Linked DNA regions of Struthio camelus. The protein of the gene in region 2 interacts with the protein of the main gene of each other region in a pairwise test. Links are inferred from orthologs where the notes say so. Each region holds a gene or a part of one and is shown on either strand. Other genes may lie near its edges.

Region 1 (15,385 bases), on a different chromosome or scaffold from region 2:
TAGGTTGTTCTCCAGTTATGCCTAAGTACAGTGTATGGTATATAAACTTCAAAAGAATATTTTCCTTAAGTGAGAAACAAAAAAGCCATTAAAATGAAATAGGAAATGAGGGAAAACAAACATAGAAGTTCTATATTGGGGGTCCAAAGCTAACTCAATAAATATTTTATATCTTATCAGTTTAAAATATAAAAGTTTTATTCCAGCACTGAAATATGGTTTTTGCTTTAATAGCATGCCACCCTGAATTAAAGTCCCTTTGTAGGTAGCATGGACCCCACGTGCACAAATTCAGTACCCTTTGAAAAAATGGGGCTATATGTGCCTCTTGTTTCTCCTCACGCTCTTATGCAATGTGATAGAGAGAGAGATGATGAGAGAAAGGATACCCACAACCGACTCCGTTTCATCCTGATCTGAAATCTACAGAAACTGATATCCAAAAGAAAAGACAAAAAATGGGTTACCAGGTAAGCTCAGGAAGTGCGGGCTAGATGAGTGGACGGTGAGGTGGATTGAGAACTGGCTGAATGATCACGGGTTGTGATCAGTAGCGCAGTCTAGTTGGAGGCCTGCATGTAGCAGTGGCCCCCAGGGGTCAGTACTGGGTCCAGTCTTGTTTAACTTATTCATCAGTGACCTGGAGGAAGGGACACAATGCCTCCTCAGCAAGTTTGCTGATGATACTAAACTGGGGGGAGTGACTGATACCCCAGAGGGCTGTGCTGCCATTCAGAGGCACCTGGACAGGCTGGAGAGCTGGGCGGAGAGGAACCTCCTGAACTTCAACAAGGGCAAGTGCAGGGTCCTGCATCTGGGGAGGAATAACCCCATGCACCAGGACAGGCTGGGGGCTGGCCTGCTGGAAAGCAGCTCTGCAGAGAAGGACCTGGGTGTCCTGGTGGACGACAAGTTGACCATGAGCCAGCAGTGTGCCCTTGTGGCCAAGAAGGCCAATGGTCTCCTGGGGTGCATTAGGCAGAGTGTTGCCAGCAGGTCGAGGGAGGTGATCCTCCTCCTCCTCTACTCAGCCCTGGGGAGGCCACATCTGGAGTGCTGTGTCCAGTTCTGGGCTCCCCAGTACAAGGGAGACAGGGCACTCCTGGAGAGAGTCCAGCGGAGGGCTACAAAGATGATGAGGGGACTGGAGCACCTCTCCTATGCAGAAAGGCTGCGAGAGCTGGGCCTGTTCAGCCTGGAGAAGAGAAGGACTGAGAGGGGATCTTATCAATATGTATAAATATCTGAAGGGGAGGTGTCAAGAGGACGGGGCCAGGCTCTTCTCACTGGTGCCCAGCGACCGGACGAGAGGCAACAGGCACAAACTGAAACACAGGCAGTTCTATCTAAATCTGAGGAAAAACTTCTTTGCTGTGAGGATGACAGAGCACTGGCAGAGGTTTCCCAGAGAGGCTGTGGAGCCTCCTTCCCCGGAGATATTCAGAACCCGCCTGGACGTGATCCTGGGCAATGTGCTCTAGATGACCCCTGCTTGAGCAGGGCGGTTGGACGAGATGATCTCCAGAGGTCCCTTCCAACCTCGACCACTCTGTGATTCTGTGGACATGTACAATAGTCACACAGGCACTGTTAATCTGGCTAGGAATATCTTGCTATACCTGTACATTTCAACAGCTTTCATATCAGCCTCATCAAAGTCATCTTCAGCTTCCTTTAATTCTTTAAGATTCATTCTTTCATAAGGTTTCACTAGAACAAACAAACAGAATGTTAGTCATCTTTTGTTCACTAAAGTGTCTGCAAACACTTTAAATGTCTGTATGAAAATTATTACATAGTTATGGAATTAATGAAAGAAAAAATGTACATGTCATTTAAGAGATTAGTCAACTTTAGTATACCTTCGGGTAAGAGAGAAAAAATAAAATTATTTAACCGTAACTAATATTTACTTGCTTAAGTACTTGCATGCACTATGTCCCTGGATCTAACAACATCTGTACTGGGTTCTACTTCTGCCCAGACCAATTGGTGGGAGTCTAAAAGGACTGCAAAAGTCTAGAAAGGACTGCAAAAGTCTACAAAGGAATGATCAGAGATCTAGAAAAAACAGCCTAAATATAAGTCCAAAAGAACTGAAGTTGTTAGTATAACTGTGATTTAAACAGTGTAGTATGCAGTGGTGTGCCATTCTGCCACTTTTTTTATTTTTGGATATTACATTTTAAAACATCTTTAGGCAAACACCATCCTGATGAACAGCACCTTCAAGAACTTGGCAGAAGCTACTGCTGAAGTCAGAAAGACTATGTGTTTTCCCTGCTGTAATTCGTCAAAAGAACACAGCAGATTGTCAAAGGAATGCACAGAGCTGAAAACTGCTGAACCAACCGTAACTTGCTTCTCAATTTGGAAGTCTGGAACTTGTCAGAAAGTGAGAATTTCTACAACACCTAACACATACAGCCTAAGTAGCTCTACGCAAAGCTGCTTGTCTGCAGGAATAGAGTTGGTACCAAGAGGCACAGTTTTACACAGAGGTGCCACTCCCGGTTCCTACTATGGTTGTAACTACACTTTCATGCTTTCTGTTCTTCAAAGAGAAACTACAGGAAGCCACAGTAACAGTAACAATTTTCTAATACATACAAATATCTGTAAAGGAAAAGAAAATATATTTTTCTTCATGCTCACTTCAGACAGGACACGGATGTTCGCATGCCAATACCTGATTTTGGACAGCAAAGATACTTGATGTACAAAATTGTGATGACAGATATAAAGGACTGTCTATTACATTGGCTCATAAATGGTAAGATTTTTCACAGAAATTAAAAATATCAATCATATGGAGAGTTTGGAATAATGGAAAACAGTTACAGGAAGACAAATATTTTCCCGCTGGAAAGGAGGGAGAGCAGTTGTATTGAAATCCTCATGTTTTTATCAAATTACAGGAGTGGATTACTACCAATTGTCTGAACATGAATCTTGCTTATACTGACTGCTCTTTACTAAAAAGACTATACTGACTGCTCTTTACTAAAATGATGAAAATGAGTTACCTGTACATAATAGAAGTCATAATGTTTGTCAGTAATGTTACTGTATGTTTAATTCAGTATACTTTTTAAAATAACCATCAACTGAGTGAAAATAATTAAAATAATATAATTATTATACAATATTTATGGCTCAAAAAGGATTACTGCAAATACCTCAGCTTGTCAAATGTTGTTCTACTAATGGCACGTATATTTTGACTTCACTTGCCTTCTGCTTCTTTCTGCAAGCGTAAAACCATTTCTTCAATTTCATCTTTTGGTTTTTCTTTTGGAGGAAGAATTCCAAAGTCTCTCAATACATCATTCCATTCAGTATCTTCATTTGGATCCTGTTTTGATATTATGAAACAAAAATAAATTAACAAACTCGTCACCCTTGCCCCTTTTTTAAACCAAAGCCAGCCCTTTTTCATTTTGGCATACAGTAAGGCCATAACAAAGGCAAACCATTACTGAGAGTCTGCAATATCTTCATGGACCACTTTCTAATCTATCTAATGAATTTTCATTTGGCATTTTTCACTTCTGCACAGACAGCAACAAGAAAATAAGAGTAAAAAAAACCCAAACTCTAAATTTAAGCATACATAAACCTATCAGTCTCCAAAATATCTGTTAAAATTTTGTCTAAAAGATATATAGAAACCTTCTTCAGAAAGCCAGAACATCACTCATCTACACATACTTAAAGAAATACAAGTTTTATACAGGCATGACTTTTGTATAACGACATTTAATGACACGTAAAAGCATGCCTAGAATCAGAAAAGAAAAAAAAACTTTTTATTTTAAATGAATGATTAATATTAATGTGTCAACATAAGCTACCTCATATACCACGTTTATTTATACCACAGGACTTCTGCATGTATATATGCACATAGGAAAAGGTGAATAAAAGTTTAAGTTTTATTTTCTCCTTCTTTGGTTGAAAAGTATAACCCATTGGAAAAACTAAAAGAGAAGCTCCACATATAATCATAAACTAGATGGTCACTAATGGGCCTGGCGTAGGAATAACCTGAATAAAGATTTGCTATAGCATAATTCCTAGCATTTATTTTTGTAAAAAATTTTGTCTTACTGTTTGTCTTACTATAAAGTTTTACATTCTTCACCAAAGAAGAATTTTGACTCAGGTACAGTCAGGATATCAAAAAGCCCACAGAACTAAGAGGACTACTCCAGGGGAACCACTGAATAAACAAGAGTGACAAACATGCACTTTGGCCTCCATTACAAATGTTCTCGTGCATATGATTTCCTGACTTAGGTCAGGATTAGATTCTGCTTCACAGAACGCAACTCTTTTTCCCTAGCAGAAAGATTATGAAGGATTATGAGGCATAAAACCCATAATAATCATTAATCCTAACTGGATAAATAAATTTGAAGACCATAGGACAAAAAAGGACTACTGAAACAGAGGCTGAATGTGTGTTTGCCAGGAAAGATTTTGACACTTTGTGTGTTTTTCTGTAAATGTATGTCCTAAAGAAAATCTCTCTACAGTATTTTACTTAAACTGTGTACTTTACACCATTTCTATTTAATGATTACAACCCTCAACAGGCTTGTGAATTGATTAACGGATTGCACACTGGACCTTCTTTCTCTAGGTGCTTTTACATCTTGTAAAAGCAAGAATTGGCTCAAGAATACTACACTTAAGATCACAGTAAACGTAACAGAAACAGGTCTCTGAGGTAAATCTGAACTCCAGTGTCAAGGAAGGGAAAGATCAGAAGCCACCAAACTTTTCACAGTTTTTAATAAACTGAGTTAAATCAACGTTTAAGAGCCTGAGCGTTAACATATCGGTGTAAGTTTGCAGCATATGCACAGAAGAAATAAATTGCGTGTCAAGAACTTCAGCAAGTATTTGACAGTAACTGGCAATGGAGCCAAGCAACAGCAAAAACGAACTGACTTAAAATTGGTTGCAGTAGCGAGAAAGCTGGAGTACCGAAGCAGTATTACTCAACTACTTGGTCACAATCCCAAGCGAGAAAACTTCTCATGCTGCCAGTGATAAAATTAGTTACCACTAGCGTTGCCAGGGGTGATACTCACACATAATAAGTTTGGGAACCCCTAGGCTGGGTAACTTCAATTCTGGAGCATAAATAACACTTCTAAGCTACATTTAAATATTAATCTGCAATTTCCTCTTTGAGTGAGTGACATGATGCTTTACAGTATGCTACATCTATGATCATCCAGCTGCCAAAGTGCAGTACTTTCTTATTCTTGAAGGATATTAATGATTAAGTTAATGGCTAAGAATTCACCGAGCCTCCGTGAGGCATCTGCACGAGAAACCCCACACCAGCTACTCCTGCCATCGCTTCTCCAGACGCCCCGCGGAGGCTGGCAAGGCTTCGCGCGGCCGGGGTCGCTCCTGCCCTCCCTGCCACCTCTGCTTTTCGTCCCCCCTCCCGCCCGTACCCTCGGGCCGCACGGCGCGGCTCCCGCAGCCCGACCGCCTCCAGCCTCCCCCGCCCCGTCGCCCTCCCGTCCTCGGCCTGCCTCAGCCTCTTCCCCCACCCTGGGGCAGCCCGGGGCCGGGGGCGGCCGTCCGCCCCCACCTGCATGGCTGCGCCCAGGCCGCTCGCTCCCCTCACGGAGGCCGCTGCTTTGACCCGACGGGCGGGGGCGGGGGCGGCGGGGCGGCCGTTGGGGCAGGGCCGCGCGGTCGGCCCCGCCCCGCCCCGCCCCGCCCCGCCCCGGGCTAACGGTCGCGGCGCCGCCCCGGGCGGGGCGGTTGGGGCGGTGGCAGCTGCCGCGCGGTGGCGGGGCGAGTGGGGGGCGTCGTGCGCGGCCGGCTGCCCTCGCTCGCTCGGTCCCTCAGACGTGGCGTGGGAAGGCGGGCGCTGCCACGGCTGGCGGGAGCGGTATCGAATAGCTTGTGCGGTCCTTGCCGGCAGGCCGGTAAGCGGTCACGGTTTGCCTCATGGCACACCTCTTGTCTGGCCTTCCGGCAAACTGCATATAACGGGGATTCTCGTTGTGTAGATGTTCTTCATGGAGAGAGTTGTGCTTTTTGAAGCATGACATTTTCTCGTGGCTTTTCTTCCCCGGCTCCCATACTTTCATCATGATGCAGTGTTAGGTGTTGTGGTAGAGCAAAGAAAAATACATGCCATGAATCAGACTTTCTGCACTGTTTTATCAGACATGTGAAAGCTTGGCTTCAGTGTACGTCTTTTTCGTGGGACTGAGTTTAACGCTTATTCAGATAATGAAAGAATAGGCATTTCCAATAAATATGAGGGCAGAATAAGAATATGCAAATGTAAGAGTAGTTGGCTATGTAAATGTGCATAAATATCAATAAAGGAGCTGTAAAATATGATATTAACAAAATAAATTAAGCTGTGATTTTAAAGACAAATCACTTGCAATGTATTCTGAAAAAAAACCCAAAAGACTACATTGCCCACATTCTCATTAAAACAACTCGCTAACTGAATGCCTTTATTTAGAAGGGAAAATAAAAGTACATATCAACAGCGTTAGAGGCAGTGTCTCTTACATGCGAACACTGTGACTTTTTTTACAGGTGCATTACACACACAGTTGTAAACATAACATTAGGAAACAAATTATTTTAATATGCTTTTAATAGATTCAAGAAAGAAAAGAAACATTTGAATTGTTAACTGAATCTAGTGTAAGAACATTTACATTCTAGTGATTTTTGAATTGTACATTAGTACGGAACAATTTTTGTAAGGAAAACAGTATGTCCGTCTACTCAGCGTTCCTGCAGCATTAGTTCTAGATCAGGAATCTAAAATCCTGAAAAATAAGAAAAAGCTTTAGCTTTTGATATGACATTGCACTAAATGCTTAAAATATGATAGAGCTATAAAATGTATTAGAGAAAGAGAGCAGCATAATATAAGCAAAGAAAGACTTGTTTATATCTCCAAAGAGCCAAATAGTTTCAGATAGTTGGATCAGTTCTTCCTGACATACGCTTATCATCATTAGTAATTTTCGAAACTGTCTACAAATCTGGGGTGTTTTCCATTTCTTGCTGCCTGAAACACCTCCGATTTCTTTGTTGTAGGGAGTGAGTACCTACAGCTTCCATTCATTTCCATTTGAGGTGGGAGAATTTAGCAGATCTGGAAAAATCCTTGCAGAAATCTAAGCTCACTGCACAATTAAAGGCTTTCTGGGTTAAATATTGCTTCTAAACATAAATATTTGGCCTATTTGTATAAAAATAAACATATTGAAAGAGAGATCTTAATTAAAAGCATTTAAATAAATACCTGCTTAGTGAAAATCCGCTGATCTCCTTCCATTGCGTGGCTGAAAGACAAATATCCAACAAGCGCTCTATAAAACTGGCCCGTTTCAATAAGAAAGCTCCACAGAACTCACTATATATAGAAATTGGTAAATTTCTCAGTGTTGTCACAGTGATCATCTTTCAAGATAAACCTGAGACCAGTTATCATTTAATGCACATTCACCCCTGGAGGAGAATTATACAGTAACATTTCAGCTTTTAAGACTGGAGAATGAATTATGCCCCTATCGTATGATTTTGTGAGGGAGAAAAAGCCACAAGAAATCACTCTAAGAGACCATTGCCCCTCATTTTTTTTGCATTTATTTAAGATGTACTTCCAGATTGTTGCTACTGCATTATAAATGTTTGTGGCAATTAAAAAATAAGTATATGAAGTCACTCTCAATGATTTTATTTTTATACTGTGTTCTTTAACGTAAGTGAAGAGTTTCTCCTTTTTCACTGTGGTCATTGCAGTAAAATTTTGCACTACCGGGGGACTTGATTCATGTTCTACTAAAGCTAATTAAAAAGCTCTTATTCAGATTAATAAGGATTAGCTGTTCACTCTGATATGGTGAGTGCATCATGGGTTAATTAATTAATTAACCATGGGTTAACATGTTTGATAACTCTGGCCTATCACGAGTACTCTAAGATCCAAGCCTGACACATAAGAAATACAAGTATACAAACATATCTTCTTTTTACTAGTCGCTTTCTTATTTAAACAGAAAAAAGATTAACCAAAATCAAGAAAATCATTATCGAGTCTGACTTGGCATCTTTAACTTAATCCATTTTGTGTAAACAGAACAAAAAGGCTGCACGGCATGAAAGATGGACCAAGTAGGTTCATTCTCCTGAGAATTTTTATGTCTACTTTCCTACCTTACTGATCAAAATACAAGGAAAAGAGAAGGTCGGGTCCAATATCTATCTTGGAACAATATGTAAGCATGGCATTATATTTATGTAGCATGTAAACACACTGTGTTGAACAATGCTTTAGAAGATTTTCAAAGATGCCATATTTTCTAGAACTCTTCTGAGAATTGTATAAATAATAACCAATGCTTTATTAAGAAATAGCACGGTATCATGTGCCTATACTAAGACGTGTACAAAAACTTCTTACTATGGCTTTATCGTAATCATAGAAAATGCCTGGAACAGATCTTGAGACCTCCTATCCATGCCTCATTCCTGTCAGGTGCATGTCTAACATGTTCTAAAACCCTACGCTGCTATGGAAGACTGTAAATCTCCATCAGTCTAGTACACTAGTTAAGTACACCTAGTTCTAAAAAAAATAATTTGCAAATACTTTAGAAATTCTTATTTGGGAATAACAGATCTTAGAATATTGGTTCACTACATTAAGAGGATCATTCTATTGATCTATTAGAGGTGCTATGTCTTTTTAAGATATTTCATTGTTAACATTTATCATAGTGAAAAACGTATCAGTAATTACCTAAATTTGAAGGATTCTAAGCACGTACAATCCCCTTTGATTTTTTAATCCGTTTCTGATACTTCAGTATCACCAAGAAGTTCCAATCTAGCCCTGTTATCCTAATGACTTTACAAATGCAGATGGTGCCATGCAGAATGTACCTTATAAATTCTTTGGAAATTATATTGCTCATCTTCTGCAAAGACAACAAACATCCATAATGGAAATACTTACAGCATGATGCTAATACTGAAAAAAGTAATACACAGTAATACTCGTACACAGTAATTCTTACACTAATTCTCTGATTTCTCGACTCTGTTATGTAACAATTTGAAAGGGAGAAAAAAAAAAAACCAAACAAACCATACCCTGAAGAAAAAGTAGCCTCTACTTTGAATCCCTCCAGGTCCTTGAAGTTCTTCCTGAAAAGTAAAGTATTTCAAATCAGACCTACTCTTGTAACTGCATGCATACAGACAGGTTGTTTCTGTGCTTACTAAAACTGTTAAGTACTACTATACAGTCTTGCCTCTTAAAGTATGCTTGATGTATATTTCTCCATGACAATTAGAAAGAAGGTCGTATCTGCATGTAGAAACAGCAAAAAATACATGAATGAGGGGTAGATTCCACCTGTAGTTCTGACTCAGTGGAAATTGCTTTAGAATTATACCGGTACTGATGAGCAGCCTTTGCCCTCGCCTTTCCAGATTTCATTACTCAGACACAACCTGAGTGTCCCGATAGAAGAAGAATCTCTAAGAACATCCTAGAATTAGGCTTTGCACATCCCAGGAGAATACTGCAAAGCTGACAAAAAGAAATACTTGGTCTCCAGCCAAGCCACAAGATCCCATACTATTCCCAGAAGCATTTCATGATCACCCTTCCCAGATTTAATCCCAAGGAGAAGACCAGTGCCTATGATATTCTATCCTGGTCATGTTGCACACACTGAAAAACAACTCTCTACTGATCCATGCAGCAAGGGGGAAAAAGAACAATAAATTAAGATAGAAATGCCATTGAAATGTAACACGCACAGGGCATAAAGTATCCTCTGGCTTTAATGACATGTGAATGATTAGAAAATGCATAAAGTGAATGGCAGAATTTTCAGCGTCTGTGTTAAAATCAGATGTCTCAGTGAGATGTCTGTCCTGTAGAAGTAGAGACAGGCCAACTTAGAAACAAAATAATTCAAGTCTTGTGCTTAGCAGAACATCATAGAATGGAATTTATTGTATGCTCCCTTAGCAATGATGGTATCTCTCAATTGAAAACTGAGGTCATGTAGGGCCTCTACTGGCTTTACAGTTTACCTATGTGGTTCCCTCATTACCCTATCCAATACTGTTTCTTGGAAAGATAGGATTTTTAGCTTTCCTACAGGCAGAAAATACTTGCATTATTGTTCAAGCAAGTGTTTTCTTAATTTTCTTACGAACTGATTTGACCCTCAGCAATAACATTTGCAGAGAATTTTAAACTCTTATACTAAAATGTGCAGAAATCTGCCATATAAATAAATATGATAAGCATAATGTGGGTGGATGACTTTCAATGGTGTAATTATAACATTAAAATAAATAAGATGCTTGCAAAATATCAAAAAAGGGTCTGCAAAGGAAATGGATTTCAGAAGATGCTAGCATTTTGTAAATGTCTTTAGTATTATGCATTCTACATCATTAAATACCACATTTAATAAGGTAACTGATATTCACAACAGGAATTCACAACAAAAAATAGAAAAAGGTACTTTCTCTGAAAGATATAGTTCAATTTAGAGCTCAGATACAGCCCATTTTTCTGTGTGCTCTAGCTGTAAGCTGCTATATGTATGGAACATCTTCCTGTATTCTCACCAGGATTAGAATCATCAATGGTGCATTTCCTTTTTTTTTTAAATAATGTTTATATTGTTGCCTTATGTTTATATGACTATTTAAAAATAGTTATATGCTGCAAGTGTTAGCCATATAATTACTTCTCTTGACTCTAGTTTTATGAAAGAGAACGTATTTTAGGACTTATTTAATATTACGTGACTCTATTGGCGTTCACTAAGCTCTTCACTTTGTAGGCCAGAATGCCTAATGATCAAATATTTCAAAATAAACAGTCATTTAAAATACATACAGGCAAAAAATCAAAGGTGATTAAATCCACTTGTGATTATTTTACATAATGGTCCAGATGCAAAGGTGGTTAAATCCATTAGTGACTCAGAAGGTCCCTAAGATGAAACTGTCAAAAGCTAGAGGGTAAACAAAAGGACTAATCACTTCACATTCCCCCTGCTCCTTCCAAGCTTTTCTTGTCTATGCACTACAAGTCACTTTTAGATACTGGATACTGGGCTGATGAAAATATAGTCTGATCTGGTATGGCTTTTCCTATTATATCCTTTTTTTTTTATTTTTTTTTTAAAGTCTTACTATGATATGACTGTCACAGGTCTATATTCCGTTCCTCTTCTAACAGATCCTAGCTGACCCTTATTCTACTTTACGATTCTGTCATTTCCTTCTTTTAAAAATTACACCTGGGTTGTATATTTTCAGTCTAATCCAATCATTCATGATAGCACTGGCTAATCTAGAGCATTCCTGTAGCTGTAGCTCATGAAACGTAACTACCGAACATGCCAGTTCAAAGTGCCACACAGTCTGCGTTCAAACTTCTAGCTGTATTTCCAATCCGTACCTAGAAGAACTCAGCAAAGAGCACATGAACAGTCCCACTGAAATAATGAACTTAAGAGTTATGTATGTGCTTAAGTATTTAGCTAAGTTAGTTTAGGAACATAATATAATAGTTGCAAATTAAACAATCAATGCTTATTACATTGCAGATTACTTCAAATTCTAAGTGTTATTATTTCTATGCACTACTAATTATGACTATAAATAGGAAAGAGACTAAAGGCCTTTAAAAATTAGCCATTTAAAAGAAAAGATGATTAAGGAAACACATTATCATACATTCACTTCTAATATAAAAATACAACAAAAATAAGATACTTTTTATAAATGTTTAATAAAAGATTTGCCTTTAGCCACAGAGTTAAATCAGCCTGCTTTGCATTCACTCAAAATGACTATAGTTTTTTTTTATTGTTATTTCCTTTGGAAGAAATATTTGCAAATATTGTTCTAAAAATATTTCTTTTCTTAGTCCTATGTTTATGTCAGTGTATGTTTAAGCTTTATGATAGATAGGTGCTATTTTTTCTTTTCCTAAGGATCTGTACTCGGTAAAGAGTATGGACCTTGATAGTTCTTTGATGTAAAAAATAAGCCTTTAGATTCTATTTCATAGGATGGCTTGGCAGCTCTTAAACAGAAGTAATGTATTAAATTTTATTTGTGATTTCAGTTTTAAATATTATGACTCTCTTAAAATATAAATATGCAGTCACTTGCATGATCTAACTGATATACTCTGCACACTATGGTATTATTATTACTCGGAAAAATATTCTAAAGTTTCTTTTTTGAGCCTGGGTGAGAAACGGTTCGCTAAAAATAAATCTGTCAAGAAGAGGCAAAATCTGATGGAATATGGTAAGTAGGCTCTTGCTTTCAGGTTATTGTCTGTTAATTACATTATTCTATTACCATTAATTATGTCATCAACCTCAGTGGAAATAAGCTCAGAATATTAAAGTATTCTAGCAAAAGGACTTGATTGGATTTAAAAGCCACTTTGTTTTCATATATAATAATTTTGTGCCCTGGCATTTATATTTTTCTTCCCATTCTTTTTCTTATTTGACATGTATATTCGTTTAAAAGCACAAAGAGCAATTACAGGAATATTCTCTGTCAGTGTTTAGCTCCAGGAGTATAAATGCAGTTAAAGTCAACGTCATCACAGAAGCTAACTTTTACCCTGTAATTTCCTTTCAGATGTGTAATGGATTAAAACTTTTTATAACAATTTCAGTTCTTGTGGGAACTGTTGTTTGAGCTGTTTCATGAGTAGAAGTACCAACTCTGTAAGTTCGTATACGTGGCCAGGTTCTGTCACTGGTAGTCCTGTTAACCGAAACTGAAGTCAGTGATAAGCAAAATCTGCCATTAGTTTTTACACAGTTCTGTTATGTTCAAGATTGCTGTAGAAGTCAGGAAGATAGGAAGATAGTACACAGCTAAAAAGCAGTAGGGACTGTTTCAAAAATTGGATCATATTTTTACCTGCCTTTAACTGCCAAAGTCTTGTCCTCTATTGTTTTCTGGGTTAGGTATATGTGTAGGCACTACACTGCTATACAGACATCCATCTCGTTATATTTTTCTGGACAAACTGATTATATGCATTTAGGGTTTCCTTTTTTTTTTTCTCTCCCCTTCCAGTTTGGCTGCAAGTGCTCATGGGGGACCTCTGGTTCACATTCCTCTGCTCCTCCTCACCCACATGAAGAAAAGTAGGGCTACAGTGCACAGCAGACTGAGCAGCCTTCCACTCAGAAAGGCTGTGTCCTGTTCCTGTATGTAAGAACATCCTGGAAGAAAAACATAATCCCTTACACTCAGTGTAATAATGGGAAAAGTCTGACTCTGTGTGGCAAATACAGAGATTTTTATTTCATTTGAAACTGTGATATCATGTCATCTATCAGTGTTTCTCACCTTTTCATTTTTTAATCAACAATTCACCTGATTTTGTTGGAAAAAAAAAAGGAGAAGCACTTAACCATATTGAGAAATAAGTCAACATTCATCTGTCACCACAGTGGCTCATGTTTACAATCAAAGTTAGTCTAAGCTTTGAATTTGATTTACTACTACTGTTACTTCCACCCTTTCTGTTTTTCTGCATGTTAGTTTCTGGGGGATTAAAAAACATTGTTTTCTTTAGTGAGTTTTCTTATGTTTTAAGACCAGCAGAGGTCCACCAGAAACAGACTGCAGAGGACTGAGAAATACTAAACAAGAATATTTCTCCCTTCAAAGAGCAGCCCGGACCAGAAGCCTTTAATGGGTGTAGTAAAGAATTTCCAAAACAACTCATTGTCCTTAAACCATGTTCAGCTGTTATTTGCTTATATGTCATCTACAACCTATATCAAGCACTCAGATGTTACGAAATGTCAGATTAAGGTCTACTGTGCCTCCTTCTGCCTTGCCCACTAGTTCTCTCTGTCCTTGCTAGTAAGAACCAATTTTTTTGCTGGTTCCTCATCTAACCTGAGTCTCTCTTCCTGAGCCATTCATGACTGCAGTACCCCTACTTTCCTTCCAGCTTTTATTTTCAGCAACCTCATTTTTCCTAGTCCTCCAAAACTCAACTCACAATATCACTTTTCCACTGGCAGGGCTTTTCCTGAGATTTTCCTCTGTGCTAAAGTCATATGGGCTGTGCCAATATTGAAACATAATAACTCTGCATAAATTCTAATGCTTTTGATGACATTTTTTCACCATATCACTATTAAATTTTAAAAAATGTATTTTTAAAAATCCATTCAGCCTCAGCTGAGCCTCATGGGCTGAAAACACCTGAGAAAGATGCTTTTTTTTTTTTTTTTAGATGAAATTGTGGGAGTCCAGGAAAGTGCTGAGTAAATGAAATCATAGTCTACAATGAGAAGTGTCAGTCCAGCTTAGTGAAAGATGGCTTTATATACATACATATCTGCACTACTTTTCTTACGTGGTAATGATAAAATACATACGATGGTGCTGTACGGCATCTATGCAAAATTTTCCTCGGTATGAAAATTTGAAGTGTTTCTTGAATCCATTTGGACTTATTCCTTAATTTAACTTATTAATTTAAAGAGATTTAACAAGATGGTACTGTCAGGCAATTCAATATGTAAAAATGAGTGGTTGAAAGAGCTGTGCTCTTAACTTTTTGTCATAACAAATAAATTAAGCAATTTCTTAAGGAAAGCACTGCCTTAATTTTATTCCAGCCGTTGCTGAATTCAGCTCTCTCTTTATTTGTCTACTTGGGGACGCTGATACAGCAACCAGAGGAATGAATCTAAAGCACAATTGCTATTTTGCAGAGGCATCCTGTATGGATAAATTCTTGTTCTTCACTAAACATTTGACTTTGTCCAGATTGTTTTTAATGAGAATGTCCACATGAAAAATTAGTGTGAAAAACGTTGCTGGCTACTTCTTCATCTGGAATTAAGGGCCTTGCCCTTAATTCTGTGAACAGAAATAAGGAGGAGCTGGGTTCCCCACTCCACAGAAGCTTGACTAAGTACAGGCAACGGCAAGTGGATGAAGAGAGCAATGGCTGCCTTAGAAAACTACTTACAACTCCTTAATTCTGTGACAAGGAACTGTATACCAATAGGGTCTGGTAGAAGCTTAGCAATCTATAAGAGCAGTACCTCACTTTGCTGTGTTCCTTTTACTTTTCTGACAAGCATCTATGATGGACTGCAAATGGAGAAGAGCTGCTGTAAGATACAGCTCCCTGTGCTTTACTCAGCGGGGAGGCCCTTGCCTGTTTACTGATTGAAATCAAATGCTGCATTTTGCGTGAGGGATGGAGAACAAGGAGAACAAGCCAGATCTGTACTCATAGTTTCTCTCTGCACCCTGATAAAATTGCAAAGCAAAT
Region 2 (15,410 bases):
ATCAACAAGACTTTTTTGATGGCTAAAACCAGCCACTGTGTTGACTACACACTTTAAAAGTAAGGGTTAAGTATTAGGTACTATAGAGCTCCAAACTAGGAAAAAAAAAAACATCATAACAAGTTTACTAAATCCTACACAAGTTATTACTTTAATTGACTTGAGAAGAAATAAATAAAAATCTGGCATGTACATCCACACCAGCATACTAGATGCAATTATTCAATCAGTTCACTGCATATATAAACTCTTCCAAAAAGACTGAGTTGGGAACTAAGTAAAAATACACAGGGAATAAATACACTGCTCCTCACAACACACCACATCCATACCTCTGTGCCTCTAGCTCCAAGAACTGCTGCCGCAACTCTTGAAGATCTTTTCTTAGGCCTGATGACACACCACTTGTATCCTGAAGCACCTCTTTAGTGTGAGTTAGTTCTCGAGTGCATGCCTCTAGTTCCTGCTCTGCTTTGCTCAGAGATTCTTCCTTTTTCAAAAGCTGAGTATTAGAATGTTATATTTGACAATACAGATAACCCAGTAATATTGATAAAGACTTCTCATTTAGACTTATCTCCTTTATTAAGTTATGAGCTGAACTAAATGAAATAACTCCCAGGAAAGGCAATGTTGAAACAGTCTCTGTAACATTGTACGTGTTTACATTCTGGTAGGATTTTGACGCTGAGAAAGTCTGCACATAAGCATCAAGGCTAAAAAAAATTATTGCAGTGCTACCACTAACTAGGTATCCTAAGAGAAATTTTAAAAGTCATGTTTAAAAATAATCTTACCATGTGTTTAACTTTGGCCATCTCCTGCTGTTGAAAGCCCTCCAGTTCATCAATTTCATCTCTCTTTTGAAAAAGGTTTAAACTCTGCTCCCTCATTTCTTGTAACTGCGTTTCCAGCATTCTTTTTTCCTGATAAACCAACAAAAACAAGGAATCCATGAATATCTGCACGTTAATTTCAAGTCAATGGGAGTTTAGTTACGCTCTTTGGAAAAGGAATCTTGTCTTAAAGGCTCTCTGACAGTACTATATATAGCAGTAGGCAACGTGGAGTAAATTATTGAACTTCAAAAATCTTCACAATGTTGTCTTTATTACAGTGCAGTCAAGTCTCACTTTAAAAAACAGTATAGATAGGTAACTCAAGCATAACAGTATTACAGGTAATTAACCCTTAAAAAGTTATAAATTTACAGCCAATAGTAACATGTTTAATGTCTTCATAATCAAAGATATTTTAAAAGAGACTGAGCTAAACAGCTGTAACAACTACAGCAAAACTGAATTCATTTCCTTAAAAAACAAACAAACAAACTACCAAATAGGGTTGCTTATTTTATGAAATAGAAAACTTACTGCAAGACCTCAGACCAAGTCACTAATTCTTTCTGCACCCCAGCTGCTCCTCTATAAGAAAGTAAACTCTCTTCCACCTTACAGAAGCACAATGCCTTTCTCCCTGCCACCCCTCATTCTCTACTTGCCCATTCAAAACTAATTCCAGAAATATCTTCTGAAGTAACAGAGCTGGTAACGAAAGCCTATCTCTGGCCTCAGTCATTGAGCAAAGATCACTTAACAAGAACGGATGAACAGAGTTGAGTCCCAGAAAGTGTACAGATCAGTGTTTAAAAATCAGAACTTAATTACCTTTTCAACTTGACCCAGTTTTTCCATCCATTCCTGAGTGAGAAAAATAGAAGAAAAATAGAAGAAAAATCAAAATCCATTTATAGACTTTTGAAAACTGCAGTTATAGTAAAAAAAAAAAAAAAAAAAAAATTTGTACTGTTAACAGATGTTAAACCATGGTAATGATTAAAATGACTAAATTTTAAATGACTAAAATAAAAATAACAATAAGATTTAAACATAGAAAAACCTGAGGAATCATTTACGTTACTTGAATACCTAAGCTTTACGCAAGTAAAATAAAAATGACAACAGTTCTCCTGCAAAGGAATCTTACTAAATACAAAGGTGAGCTTACCTTTATACTAGAAACTTTTGAGTGGTTTTTTAAAATCGGCAAGAACACTCAGAACGACGACAAGTCCTTTGACGTTTCTTACATTAGCACTTAATGCTCCATCCTTTCTTTGACTTCAGCAAAGTAAGCAAAAGCAATACAGAGCAACTATTTTCATTAATGGTGACACCTCCTGACTACATCAAGATCATGCACTGCACAACTGGTCAAAAGTTCAGTTGTTCAAACTGTAACTATTACCTGGTCCTTTTTTTCCAAGGCCAAAGCCATTCCTTCAGCCATCTTGGCTCGGTTGGCCTGGTGAGCTTCATTCTGCTCCTGAAACTTCCTCATAGAGGCTGTCAACAAAGAATCACCAGCTTTATTACAAGGCCATCTTTTTAAATCACTTCTCAATTTCCTATGTTATTTATAAATTTAAAGAGCTTCTTACCCAAGTAATTAGCCCCATCTTGACTCTCTAGCACTGATGTTGTGCCATTTATTATATTACATTACACATTTGCTTGTACATTAGACAACTGCCGGAAACGACAGAAGACATGAGTACTGTTCCTCAGTGCTTGGATTATAACAAGGCTGAAGGTTTCAAAAAAAATCTCTCCCACACATTAGCCACCAACTTGGCAAAGAGATTAATGACAACTTTGTTCAGCAGCCAAACTATAGCTTTTTTTGCAACCTAGAGGTGCACAATTTGAAAGTAAATGCATTTAAAACAACCATACAAACTCATTTCTTTCCATCTGCATTTAAAGCATAACAGTTTTCAACTGAAAAAAAAAAAAATACGTACAATCCTGATGCTTTTCTAATGCATTTTCAAGCTTCTCTTTTATCTTCTGCAAGTTTCGGATCTGATCAGCATAATCTTGTGTGAGGAGGGAGAGGCACAGACCAGGAATGGACAGACATTGGGGAAGGAAAAAAAAAAAAAAAAAAAAAAAAAAGAAAGGAAGAAGAAAAAAAATGAGTGGAAAACAACAATGATTGTCTCAACTAGAAAATCATTCCAGTTAGGGAAAACTTGGGTGACCACAAAAATGAAGACAAGCAAATACTGTCTATGCCGTCCATGGGGTATGCGGTTGGCACAAACAGGAGGACCTGACCTAGGTGTGCTAGTTACACAATAAAGGGCAGTAGGCCTGGCACCAGAGAACGGAGAACTATTCCCACCTTTTACTTCATTCAAGAACAGTGACTTAATTTAAGAGACATTTTCTAAAGAGAAATAAAGAGTGAATGAGAAGACACGGGAATTCAAAGCAGCTTTTACTTTTGCTCCATAACACGCTTCAACCTGGACTCCGATCCACTCCATGCAACAGGGATGGAAAGCAGTATCAGAAGTCCTTAAAAGACTTTTACAGGACAAGGCATGATTGTAGAAAGAAAAACAGCGTCAATGTTGTTTTATGCCAAATCCTTTGCTTTTTCTTCATTTGGGAGTTTATCCTTTTGGGAATGTTTCTGTCAACATCAAAAAGCATACATCTTAACAGAAGGGAGCTGTTCTATTTTCCAAGTAAGTAAGAAAAAACAGTGGGGAAAGGAAGATAGCATCAAGTGAAGACTCTTTCTGTTTGAAACACAGGGACAGAAAGGTATCCCAAATGTTCAAAAGAAACGCACAAATGTTGCGAAGAAATCAGTGGAAAAGAGTCAGTCAGTCAATCAATCTTTAAACTTTATACAGTTATCTTTACTGGAAGCTACCTAGATGACAGTCAACCATGTTGTTACAAATTGAAGTTTTCTGGAAAAAAAAAAATCTAAAAACATTTTTTGATAAGTTAAAACACTTAAGTTCAAATGAAACACATTTCCTAAAATAATAAGGTTTTATACAAACCAAGACACATACCGGACAGTTTGACCTCCAGTTTTCTTATCTGTTCGTTTCTTCTCAACAACTGGGATGAAAGATCCTCCCTAGAGCTGCTTCCATCAGAAGCCTCAATAGAAAAACAACATCCATGTAACTTACAAAACTTAGAAAAAATGATCCTGCCATATACTAACTTTAACGATAATGAACACTATCCCACCTAGGAAGGACGCTTTCATTTTTCACGAGGGGAGAGTTGTACTAGCACAGCAGAATGTACAAAAGATGCTGAAGAAGAAAAAAAGCAAGAGCTTAAATGGTCAGCTCTCCAATGTGGGCCTGTTCCGTGAAATACAAGACTTTTAAAACCCATAGCTGCAAATTATTTGTTCAGACTGATCACTGAGGAGACAGCATAGCAGAGCGACTGGAAAAAGGAAAAATTAGGTTATACAGTACACATTCTGGGATGAGTCCAAGTGAGAGGAGTCATTTTGGAAAACTAAGTAACTGGAAGAAGGAAAAGTAATACTTTTCACGTTGAATAAACTCCCTTAAGCACTTATCCAATAGTCATTCCATGCAAAATCCACTGCATAGCTAACATATGTTTCTCTATAGTTTTTTTTTATAAAAATCAACATTAAGAGCAAGTAAATGGGAACTACTAAAATAACTCATTCTTGAAGATAGAGTTTTATTTATATATTTCATATATATATCTCTATATACACACACACACACACACACACACAGAGCGAAAGAGAATCATAAAGGGACCTGCTGTGCTAAAGCAATATAGCATGTATTAGCTGTTAGCTCCAACAGCAGTGCTACACCATGACTTAACCCAGGTTTTGAGAAATACAATAGCCATCTACGGGCAGAGGTGCCAGCGTTGTAGGGTTTCATTTAACCCACATGCAGCTATAATTATACAGCTTGCTTAAACAATGCTTCATAATGAATCAAAGTTTAAACAAGACAGAGGAACCAGAACAGTTTTACTTGCATGCAACAAAATGGAATATGCTTTCTTAGCGGTTACATAAACAATATGCTCAAGCAGCAAGTGTACCAGCAACTCGAGAGGCAAACACAGGACCAAATCACTGCTAATCAGCATCCGGCTTCCTTGTCTGCTGCTTCAGTACTTACTTCTGTAGGTAGGTGTCTTACACACTGCTAAAGGTTTATTCAGTATTTTCCATCTGTTTAACAATGGTCTTCATTGAGATAGTTTTGTAACTTGCGTTTAAACATAAACTTGCGTTTGAACATAAGCCTCCTAGTAACTACTGCTATTAATACATAAATATTTTCTTTTCAGTAGCTAGTTTCTTTTCACTGAAGCTAGTGATTCATCTACACGTTAAGCTCTACACCTACATAAACGCCCTATCGCATACCGGAACGCATACGCGGCTCACGCACCGGACTTAAAATGGTCGCCTGCCAACCCGCACTGGAAAGGCTGAAACAAAAAGCAAAATTCCAAGCAAAGTGCAACTCACAAAGTCGTCTCCCGAGTCCGCTCCCATGGACGCAATCGACTCCTTGCTGACAGACCTAGGTATCCTGGCAGCTCCTCCCGGGCGAGGCGCGATACCTGCCTCTTCCGCGATCTTCTTCTTCAGTTTTGCAAACATTTTACTGCTCTGCAGCCCCGAAATAGCCAAGTATTTGGCAAAGCCGCTCCCTCCGGCACGGCTAGCGCGCTGGCGCTCCGCGTAGAGCTTCCAGACGTCGAGACTTAATTTCGTGCCTCATCCACTCAGTTTTATTGCCTCTCTAGTTCCATTAAAGCCTTCATGGCCTAACAGGACCTGCACGTTAAGGAGATAAGGTTTCCGTACCGCGGCTTTCCACCAGTTTTAAATACCTCCACGCAACCGAGCGCCTTTTAATTCCGTGCGTGTCGTCGCACACTCAGAGCGCGGAGCAGAAGCCCTGCAGAGCTCCCGCCGGCCGCGAAGCGCGCCCCAGGCGGAGGCAGCGGGCCCGGCCGGCGGCTGCCGAAGGGCCCGGCGAAGCCCCGCCGCCACCGCGCCGCTCCCGCCGCCGCGGCCCGGCCACGGCCGTCTCGGCCCCGGCCCCTCAGTCGCCTCACGGCGGCCCCCAGCCCGGTGCGTGCCGCCGCGCCGCGCCCCGCCGCGCCGCCCCGACCCCCCCCCGCCACCGCCACCGCCACCGCCACCGCCGACCGCTGCCGCCGCTGCCCCTGGCGACGCCGACCCGGAAGCGCCGCGCGGAGCCGGAAGCGCCGCGGGCTGCGCACGCGCGAGGCGAGGCGAGGCGGGGCGGGCATTGGTAGCCCCGCCCCCTCCCCTCCCCTCCTCTCCTCTCCCCTCCCCCCCCCCGTCACGGCCGCCGCGCGCCCCGCCGCGCGACAGCCGCCTCCTCACAGACAAGCGTTTGCCACAGTTTATTAATCGCGAACTCCTTCCATACCACCGGAAAAGGCAAGGTAGTCATGACAACAGGCAAATCATACAGGTTAGCAAACAAGAGCGTTACGTCTGAAACACCACGCGTCTACAGAAGAGGTACAGAGCTGGGGGCGGGCGGGGGGCCGCGGCCCGCCACGCGCGGAGGGGCCGGCGGGGCAGGCGGGCCGCGCGCGGAGCGGAGCGGAGCGGAGCGGCGCGGGAAAAGGCTTTAACCTTGGTCGTGGCAGCAGTAAGCAGGCCTTGCGTTTCGGTTTTAGTTACCGGTACAAACCGACGTGGAAACTAAGGTCTTTATTTCTGAAGTGGAGGAGTAACATCACTTCTCACTTGTAAGCGTAGCTTTTAACTCTTCCCTGAAATTTTCAGCAGTAATACAAACATACTTCTTTCCTCCCAAAGACACCAAAACCAATGGCAGAATATTCTCTGGTAGTGCATTGCTTTGGCAATTCATAGATCCCTTGCAAAAAAAAAAAAAAAAGTCTATTTGCTCCAAAAAGTTTATTTATATATCTCTATATATTTTAAGTAAAATATTTTTTTTTTTTAGCAAAATATGATATACAGGCACATGGCTGTAAAATAACTTTAAACCAATCCACTATAAAATTACTTTTGGTAATAAATAATCTGATACTCAGAGAGGCAAAACACTCCTTTAACCCTTGGTAGATGGACTGTCTGAGACATAGTTCATCTTTCTGTATTTCCAGAATGTCCCCTCCCTCTCCCATCTATTTTTCTTGTACTTCTTGGTGAGCTGCAGGCCAGGGCATAAGCACCTTGTGCTTTTCAAATGCATGAGGCAGAATCCTGCTCCTAAAAATGAGTTACAACTGATAAGTGGTAATAAACAGATGGCAGAAGAAATCTGCAAAGTCAGTAGGGCAGATACTCAACACAGGCTTTTTTTGAAGGAATAATTACTGATATAAGATCCAATAAGGTCTAAAAATCTCTCAAGGCGCTCCTTTGGCCGAGTAAATAGTAAAGTCTGCTCTCAATGTGAAAGCAGGATCTGTAAGAGCAAAACGTCTATGCACACATCAGGGCAGCAGGCCCAGTAATAAGGGTACGTCAATGGGGATGCAGAGTTATTCCCTGGTCTTCTGAAAGAGCTCACAAATTCAGAAATCCTCAACTAGATCTCCTCCTCTGTCTTGGCAGAGCAATGGTTTAGAGGAAAAGTGATGAGAAAGTGGGGTCTGTCTCAGAAGAAGTAGCTTTACTTTCACTCCTAAATATAAACCAGAAGTATTTGTCCGATGCTTCCTCCTCTGCTCTATTTGTAAACATCCAGACTTTCACAATCTTTGAAATAGATTTGGTCCCACAAGCCAAATCGCTCTAGAAGTCAGAGATACTCAGCAATGTAAGAGAGCCATGTCAAGAATATGCAAGTCATCTACTCTGGACAGTTTTGCCCTGTCTTCTGCACCAGTATCCCTCTCAGAGGTTGACGGTGCAGCTTAGTCTGACATTATTGAGTTGCACAGAACAGCTTTCAGCTGCATGTGTTGGACTTTTTCCCTTGTGAGATTACTCTTGCTGTTACTGTCCATGGAGCTCCCTCAGCTACAGGAGCAACTACCAACAGCTACCAACACCGAAGCAGCCACTTAACATAGGATGGACAGGACTAAACATCTGCCACTGCTATCATTAGTGACCTGTAAAAACATTTACTGAAGAAGCTAACATAGATGAAGCTTTACAAAAGAAGTGTCAAGGCCAAAATGCTGCTGAGAGAGATCCCAAGCTAAAAGCTTTTGGGAAAAAGCAGACCAAGCATAGCACGGAGTCATACTACACAGAAGAAGCGGGGCGGGGGGTAATTCAAAACGGCATGCCTGTGGATGAATCTTGGAGCTGTACTTTCATCCCATCCTTAGACAAGAAGCCTGACCAGCGCTACTGAACTTGTAGCTTTTGAAGACGATTATTTGAAGCCTAACTTCCTGTCCCCATCTACCCTCAGTGATCCTTAGAAAGACATCTCCACACTGCTCCCTGTAGAATATTAAGGGTTTTAATACATCATGACCTGATGGATATTATTTTGACAAACTACCCAAACAAACTCTCCTGAAACTTCTCACGAAAGCACTCCAGGGAGCAACTCCACTTTGCACAGCTCACAGAAGTTAGTGCTCCATTTTTGTTGCCACAGAGCAAAATGACAGCGTCCAAAGAGTAAAAACAGAGCTCTAAAAATTCATGGCCCTATTTTCCCCCTCACTGTTATTTTGAGAAGTCAAGGGGGTGGGTGAGGGAAGGCAACAGCACTGACTTTGGCTAGATGTTCTAAAGCCAATTTGAACAGAGGAGTACAAATAGAGATGCCTACCGTGGAAGTACAGTTAATTCAAACATATCACATGCAGTAAATTAGGGGGCTAGGCAGGAGAAGTCCAATAAGGAGACATTCAATCAAGTTCACCTTTTCCTCTCTTTAGATATTACATACAGAATTTACCCTTTTAATTCAGTATTGCCTAATGGTAGCAAGTCTTCTCCACTAACATAAGCAATAAGGATATATGGAGAAAGGGAGAGGGATACAAGAGAGAAGGCATTAGGCCTGAGAAGAAAAGGATCTGTTCTCTCCTCACTTGAAATTGTTCAGCCTTTGCTTCCCTATAGCGAGATCTGCTAGATATATATACCAAATTTTTCTTCAGTACATACAAGTATACATAGAGAAGGTACCTACAACCATAGCACACAGTACACAGTAGCACAAATTTAGAATGACTTAGTAAATTCAAACAAGACAAGCTTTTACTTGGAGGGAAAAGATCAGTGTTTTTATCTTGAATGCAGCTAGCTGCTTTTTTTTTTTTGGGGGGGGGGGTGGGGGGTGGGGGGGTGTCTGGCTCAAAGTCCAAGACCAAATACTCATCTTATCTACAGCTAGAGCAGACAGAAGGTATCAGCCTTTTTCTTATAAAGTACAATTTCTTACTCCTACTGACACAACAGGAGTAAAATCTTTATCTTTGAATATTCCTATCAGCAGCATACCTTTTGAACCAAAGGTCACTAGGTGAGAAGAGAATGTGGGACCTCAAGAATGAATTTTTTACCTGAACAGACAAAGCTGATGTGTTTAGCTTCTGAACTAATTTTCAAAGCCACATATTCTCCTCCATTCTAGCTTCTTTAGTCACTTTTTTTTTTAAGCGCATTCTCCTCTGATTAGATCTACTTAGGTAACAAGCAAACAGAACCTCTTCTCAGGGCTGCATAGTGGCTTAGAGGCCTTGCAGATCGCAAGCAAGAACTCCTCGTCTCAGCCCAGCTAAAACACGATCTAGCGTCTGCCAAGGCTTTCCCAGTCAGCTAGAAGGCAATATTTCACAGAGGTTCAGCAGCCCACACTAAAGGGATCTTTGCTCCTGTGCTTCAAAATAGCACACTATTTTCCAGATGCATGGAACCAAACTGAGAATAGCTTCATCAAAGCAAAAGCTAAAGCAGAACAAAAGCATCTGATTGGAAGGCAGTGAGCTGGGGAAAAATAAGTTCCCCTCTTCCATGCACATTAAACACTGCTGGTGGAGGAACAGCAGGGAGGGTAGCAGATACGATAATCTGTGACTCTCACTTGCTGCTGCTTTAAAGGCTTTCAGTATCTTTAGCTTCCACGTATGATCCCACGTTTTAATAACTGGGGACCTCCTACCAGAAGGAAAGGCAGATCATCAGCTTCACCATTAAGAATCCATGAATCTAATCACTGTCACATACATAGGAGTACTCATAACCCCTAGCTAAGGCTTCCTGTACCCGATTGCAGTTCTGAATTACTTCAAGGACTAAGTGCAAGTCCCTGAAAACAGAATTATAATGGTAGAAGAGCCATAACCTTTACTACAACCACAAAGGATCTGGAACACCTTGTGGAATGCACCCAAAATGGCGTATGTGTGTATATATAAATGTTGTATATAAAGACATTGTACTGTTTCATACTTTTTAATACATATACAAGTACCTATACATATATACATATTTACAATTTACACTAGCAAGTAGATGTATGTGTATTGTACATATACACACAAACGCCTAGAATACACATACACACACAAACACACACTCTTTAAAATAAACTCCACATCCCAGTCCTGCTATAGTCCAAAGAAGAGCAGCACCAAGTGGTGAGGGGCCCAACATACCAGCTTCAACACTGCTCAGAGAAAAATGCTAGCATTCATTGAATTTTTTACACTTGGGAAATTAAAGAATGGAGAGCTTAAGCTGAAGCTACAGCCCAAGATACAGAGAACCTTCACACAAACTTCCCATTTATACTGTGGCAAATCCTGCTGTTCTGTACTACGCCCTGCTGAATGAGGGTCCATCAGTGCCGATTTCTAGTCCTTCACTATTCCAGCTTCTGAGTTGATCATACCGTTGTATTACAGCTTTGCAAACATGCCTGCTGTGATAGTCCCAACATTTTGCAATTTTTTTTCCACCTGACATTAGAGGCATGACTGGGTTGCAACTTTAAAGCACTGATCAGACTTGTCTTTTCACTTCCTTTTCAGCACAGAAACAGTGAAAACAAACTTTTTCTAGTTTAGAATTTTCTAGTTTAGAATAGTTTAGAACATTTTCATTTTCTTTCCTCCCTCAGGCTTCACTGTCAGGAGTTGCAAGAGTTCCTCTAGTTCTGCAAGGAAGGAGGTACAGTCCAAAAGAGTCAGCAAGCACTTTTTCTCCCCACACTCAAAATAGCCTTCTCCAGCAAGTGCCTTTACAAAGGTCACAGTACTCCTTAACCCACCTAGACTGAGCATTTTGGGCTGAGAGAGCCTACAGCACTGCCAAACAGTATTACAGCCCCTCAGTTTTACTGGCTCGAAAAAATGACTGAGATGCAACAATGAGCACTCACAACATTAACGGGGCTTTGTGGCAGCACCCCTTTTTTTTTTTTTCCCCTAACCTCCAAGAGGAGCACCAGCATGTCTGCTAGGGCACAGGGATCCAACACAGATTAGTTAGATAAATGGGTGATAGGAAGGGCTGATATTCAGCACTTTATGGGACACACTTTCAACTCTTGTCAGGAATTGATAACACTGGAGGAGCCACACATTTCATTTACACAAGGAAAGGACAGATTACACCTGGTGGAGATTTAAGAATTTCTATCTATTAGCTCAAAATGAAGAACGCCCTCTCCTCCTGGAAAATTGCAGCAGCAATACAAATGGCACAATGACCCATGTTATGGTGAGAAAGGGGAGCCAAATCTCTTGGTCTTGTAATTCATCAGTCTGCTAGCCATCCACCCAAGCAGGTAGAGTGGAAATTGTCCTTGGCCAGCAGTACAAAGTTTGTATATAGAATTGGTGTGACAAATTTATAGGGAGCATTAAAGCTCTTTACGACTTCATGTCAAACCCACTGCTCCAAATGCAGCTTAATCTACCTCAGTTTTGTCTACTTACTTGCCTAAGACTGAAAAAATATATTTGTTATGAAGGACTCTGTTTTATTGCTATTGTTGGTTTGCACTGTGTGGTTCCATCTTTACCATTTCAAATCCAGAGTCTTTGGGGAAAAAAATATTGTTTTTCTATTGATTTTTTCCAATTTTTTAAAATTGTATAAAAATAAAGGATTTCCACAAACATGGGCTAAAGGTAACCAATAGTACTTCTATGCTTAGGATCAGCTGTTGGAAATGTGGTTGATAGCAGCCACAAGACCAGAAATAAAACTCTAGTGATTCTTTAGTTTAACATTTAAAAGACATGAAAAGTTTCGCTTATAAAAGTGACCCCATACAGAATGGAACAGCTAAACTAACAGCTGTTTATTATTGTTTTTTAAAATTATGGTCCTAAATTTAAAAATAAAATCAAGTACTTCCTTTTATGATTTTCACATTAAAAAACTGCACCATTCAAAATCTGTGACCAGGGAAACCGCTTTGCAGTAAGACAGTCTCTTCTAATAGTCGTCGAGGGTGTTTTCCAGGAAAACATTTCTAACATCCAGTATGGAAGCCAGCTCCAAAATGTGCTTTTGGAGGTGAGGGTTCTCCACAGTTTCATCTCTTGGCAGCTGAGGATAAGATTCTGGATAATTGCGAGTTTCCTGCTAGACAACAGTGAAAACAGAGAGAATCAGACATTCATTTATTTTTATAACCTTTTAGAAGATTGCAAAAGGCCAGTTTCACCTAAGAAGTATCTTAATTTCTTTAACATGCCACATGGAATGAAAAGATCCTAGCAGAAAAAAAAGTCATGTTCAGTTTTCTTTTTCTATTGACTCAAAGACAGTCATAATGGCAATACAAACGTTCACTCCTCTAAGCTGATTAAGTACATTCTCCTCTAAGCTGATTAAGTACATTTGCTTTTAATTCTATATTCACAGAAGCCTTACCAAAAAGAAAAAAAAAAACTTTACACATACTTACCTACTACCGATTTAGGCTGGAGTTCATTTCTTGAAATTGTAGACATGTAAGCATCTCCAGTGGGAGATTCATCTCATCCTAAAACAGATATCTAAGACACTGGGGGCAAATCCATCCCCACTCACAAAAGATCTACTTTTTCCCCTGCTATCAAGGAAGCCTGAGTAGCTAACTTAGGCTTGGAAAACTAATAGATGTCTGCAGTTAGGCAAGATCAGTTCTACTGCATCTTTCTGTGCTTCTACTTTCAGTTTTTCTGTAACATGTAAAGTGGAGCACACAATTTATACGCCAACACTCGCAAGTGTAAAATGATGTAGATCCAGAAGCAGACTTCACTGCTAGCAGTGTTAACCAGCAGGGAGGGGAAATACCGTCTTTCTGTTCAGCTTATTCATTTACACTTCAAAGGCCTTTCAAAATTTACTCACCCTAGAATACATCCCAGAGATAAAGTTTCCCTCCTCTCCACTTCCTCTTATAGTCTCGATCCCCACTTTTTTTAGTTATATAGAAACAATATTCTTCTTGATAACTCAAGATTATTTCTAGCAGAAAAGACTATTCAGAGTGACATAAATGAATATGCTAATGTTAGAATGTGCCTACTACTTGTGTGGTGGAATAAGGCTGAAGCAAGTCAAAGGCTTCATGCTCTATAATAACAAGGAGATAGACACAATACAAGCTGTAGGCATTAGCATGTGAATATCAGCTATCTTTCGCAAGTCACAGTGATATCCGTAGCCGTAAGACCCTTCCATTCTGAGGCAGTGCAGTTCTATCTGCACTGGATTGTTCTCACAAAGAGACAGATTTCCCTGCATACCCGGAAAATTTTGTGCATCCTCATAGTAGCCGAACAGAAGATAAATCTTGTTAGAAGCAAGCGAAGAAATTCATCCCCAAAAAACTGAAGAAAGGACTGATCTGCAGAGAAGCGAACAAAGAAAACTCAGTTCAGAAAGGCTTTAAAAACAAAAAGGACCCTGGGGGAAACCACCATGCATACTTGTGCATTCCCCTTATTCACTATTCTGTCCCTTGGAAAGCCTGAGCAATAACAAGGTGTCGGCTTAAGTAGCATACTAAGCTTCAGTTGTACATCTTTAGGTACATACCTATGGAACGTGAGTGGGTCAGCAGCTGGGCAATATCTCGGTTGATTTTTCTAAGGTAATCTTGACACTTCTCCCACAATCCTCTGCGCATGCTTGATAATCCAGAGACAAATAGGAATGCCATTAAAGGATTGTTCAGAAAGAGTGTGAAGAGGCTACCCCGCTGAGACTGATCTAAAAAAATCAATAAACAGAGATACACGTTTGGCACATGAAACAGAAAAGCTGTCCTGGCTACAGAATGAGGTCCCTCACCCACTATACTCTGTAACAGCAATGCTACTAGTTTGGCTGTGTTATATCTTCTCCCCTCTTGTGGTAGATCTGTTCTCAAGGTGATGCACGTGATTAGCACTAAAGGATCAAGCAGCTGGACCTATATAACCTCCGCAAAGTCTACAGAGTTGTCCTTTTGTTGGACAGCATCACAATGTCCTAAAGCACATTTATTCCGTGTAGTTCAACATGATAGGCAAAGATTCAGGCTTCACCTCAATAAACTGGTATATCAAAAGAAAAAAGTAATGCACATGAGGTCGTGTACCCAAACAGTAAGGCCACTTCCTCCTCAGCACGGCTTACTAACTTGACATTGGTATTGCTTCGGTGCAACCCCTCGTCTTTCAGGATGCAAGCACACAGTCCTGCATGATATAACGCTGTCCTGACACAGGGGCCTAGTTAAGTTCAGCTAAGTCGTCTCTGCACAGGGCTCCAGTGCACAGTGTAGCACAACCTCAGAGCTACATCAGACTTCTGTGACTGGTCACTCAGCATGATATAAGCATCCAGTATTTTGTAAAGAATTAAGCTCTATTTTTCAAAGTTTCTATTTAAACAGGATTCATTGTAACAATACTTATTTTCTACTTAAGTTTCAATTTCTCACACAGTCTCTCATGATACATGCCTAATACCACTCCATATGGCTTAAGCTAGATCTTCATACTTGATTTTGTGATGAAAAGTAACCTTAACATGGCAAATTCCAAGGAGAAAATCTGGAATTATATTTTACAGTAGTCACAAGAACTGAAGAATATAATTTTCATTGCCTGTTTCTACTATAAACCCAGTTTCTCAGGGGATACAAATCCAACAGGCTTCCTTAACTTACCCTCCAAAACCAGAACCAGATCAGGAGAGGATTTTGCTTTACACTTGGCCTTTAAAAGCTGATACCTTAACTGAATGGATAATATAACCATGCTGACCTTCTGGAACTAATAAAGCTACCCCAGGTGCTATTAAGAGAAAAAACACATTAGAATCCCACCACTGGGCTGGCAATTTTTTGAGTCTCAGTGTAGAAGAGAATTTGTCTACTAGCACTTGATGAAACTGTACAAATATCATAACGGTTAGAAAAAGTTATTTGCCATGAACTGTAAGTAAACTTTATCATGCTACTTCAGGAATAATAAAATAATAAAAAGCTGTCTTCTCCTGAAGAACCTGTTATATTTGTTTGGCAAAATGATAGATAAATGCTGCAACTGCAAACTGTTAGGAAATGCAATACTTGACATACCTTGTAACGCTTTTGGATATGCTGT

Evidence for each region.
Region 1: the proteins of GOLGA1 (region 2) and PDCL2 interact in a two-hybrid assay, tested with the Homo sapiens proteins (2 studies listed by BioGRID). The two-hybrid records come from large-scale screens. The link is inferred for Struthio camelus from reciprocal best matches to the Homo sapiens genes GOLGA1 and PDCL2.

The regions. Positions count from the first base shown.
Region 1 is NC_090945.1:56,482,170-56,497,554, reverse strand, and holds the start of PDCL2 (phosducin-like protein 2), read right to left. Parts: upstream 5,734-15,385; 5' UTR 5,621-5,733; coding exon 5,615-5,620; intron 3,356-5,614; coding exon 3,235-3,355; exon of another isoform or gene 3,180-3,234; intron 1,711-3,179; coding exon 1,620-1,710; intron 1-1,619. Other genes in the region: NMU (neuromedin-U), read right to left, coding at 7,314-7,349, 9,163-9,216. UniProt on the Homo sapiens protein: Essential for male fertility, spermiogenesis and acrosome formation.
Region 2 is NC_090961.1:1,280,314-1,295,723, forward strand, and holds the start of GOLGA1 (golgin subfamily A member 1), read right to left. Parts: upstream 6,126-15,410; 5' UTR 6,043-6,125; intron 5,665-6,042; 5' UTR 5,488-5,664; coding exon 5,353-5,487; intron 4,178-5,352; exon of another isoform or gene 4,059-4,177; intron 3,966-4,058; coding exon 3,875-3,965; intron 2,879-3,874; coding exon 2,804-2,878; intron 2,346-2,803; coding exon 2,248-2,345; intron 1,701-2,247; coding exon 1,668-1,700; intron 927-1,667; coding exon 798-926; intron 503-797; coding exon 333-502; intron 1-332. Other genes in the region: protein SCAI, read right to left, coding at 12,259-12,408, 13,563-13,663, 13,855-14,028, 15,386-15,410. UniProt on the Homo sapiens protein: Involved in vesicular trafficking at the Golgi apparatus level. Involved in endosome-to-Golgi trafficking. Mechanistically, captures transport vesicles arriving from endosomes via the protein TBC1D23.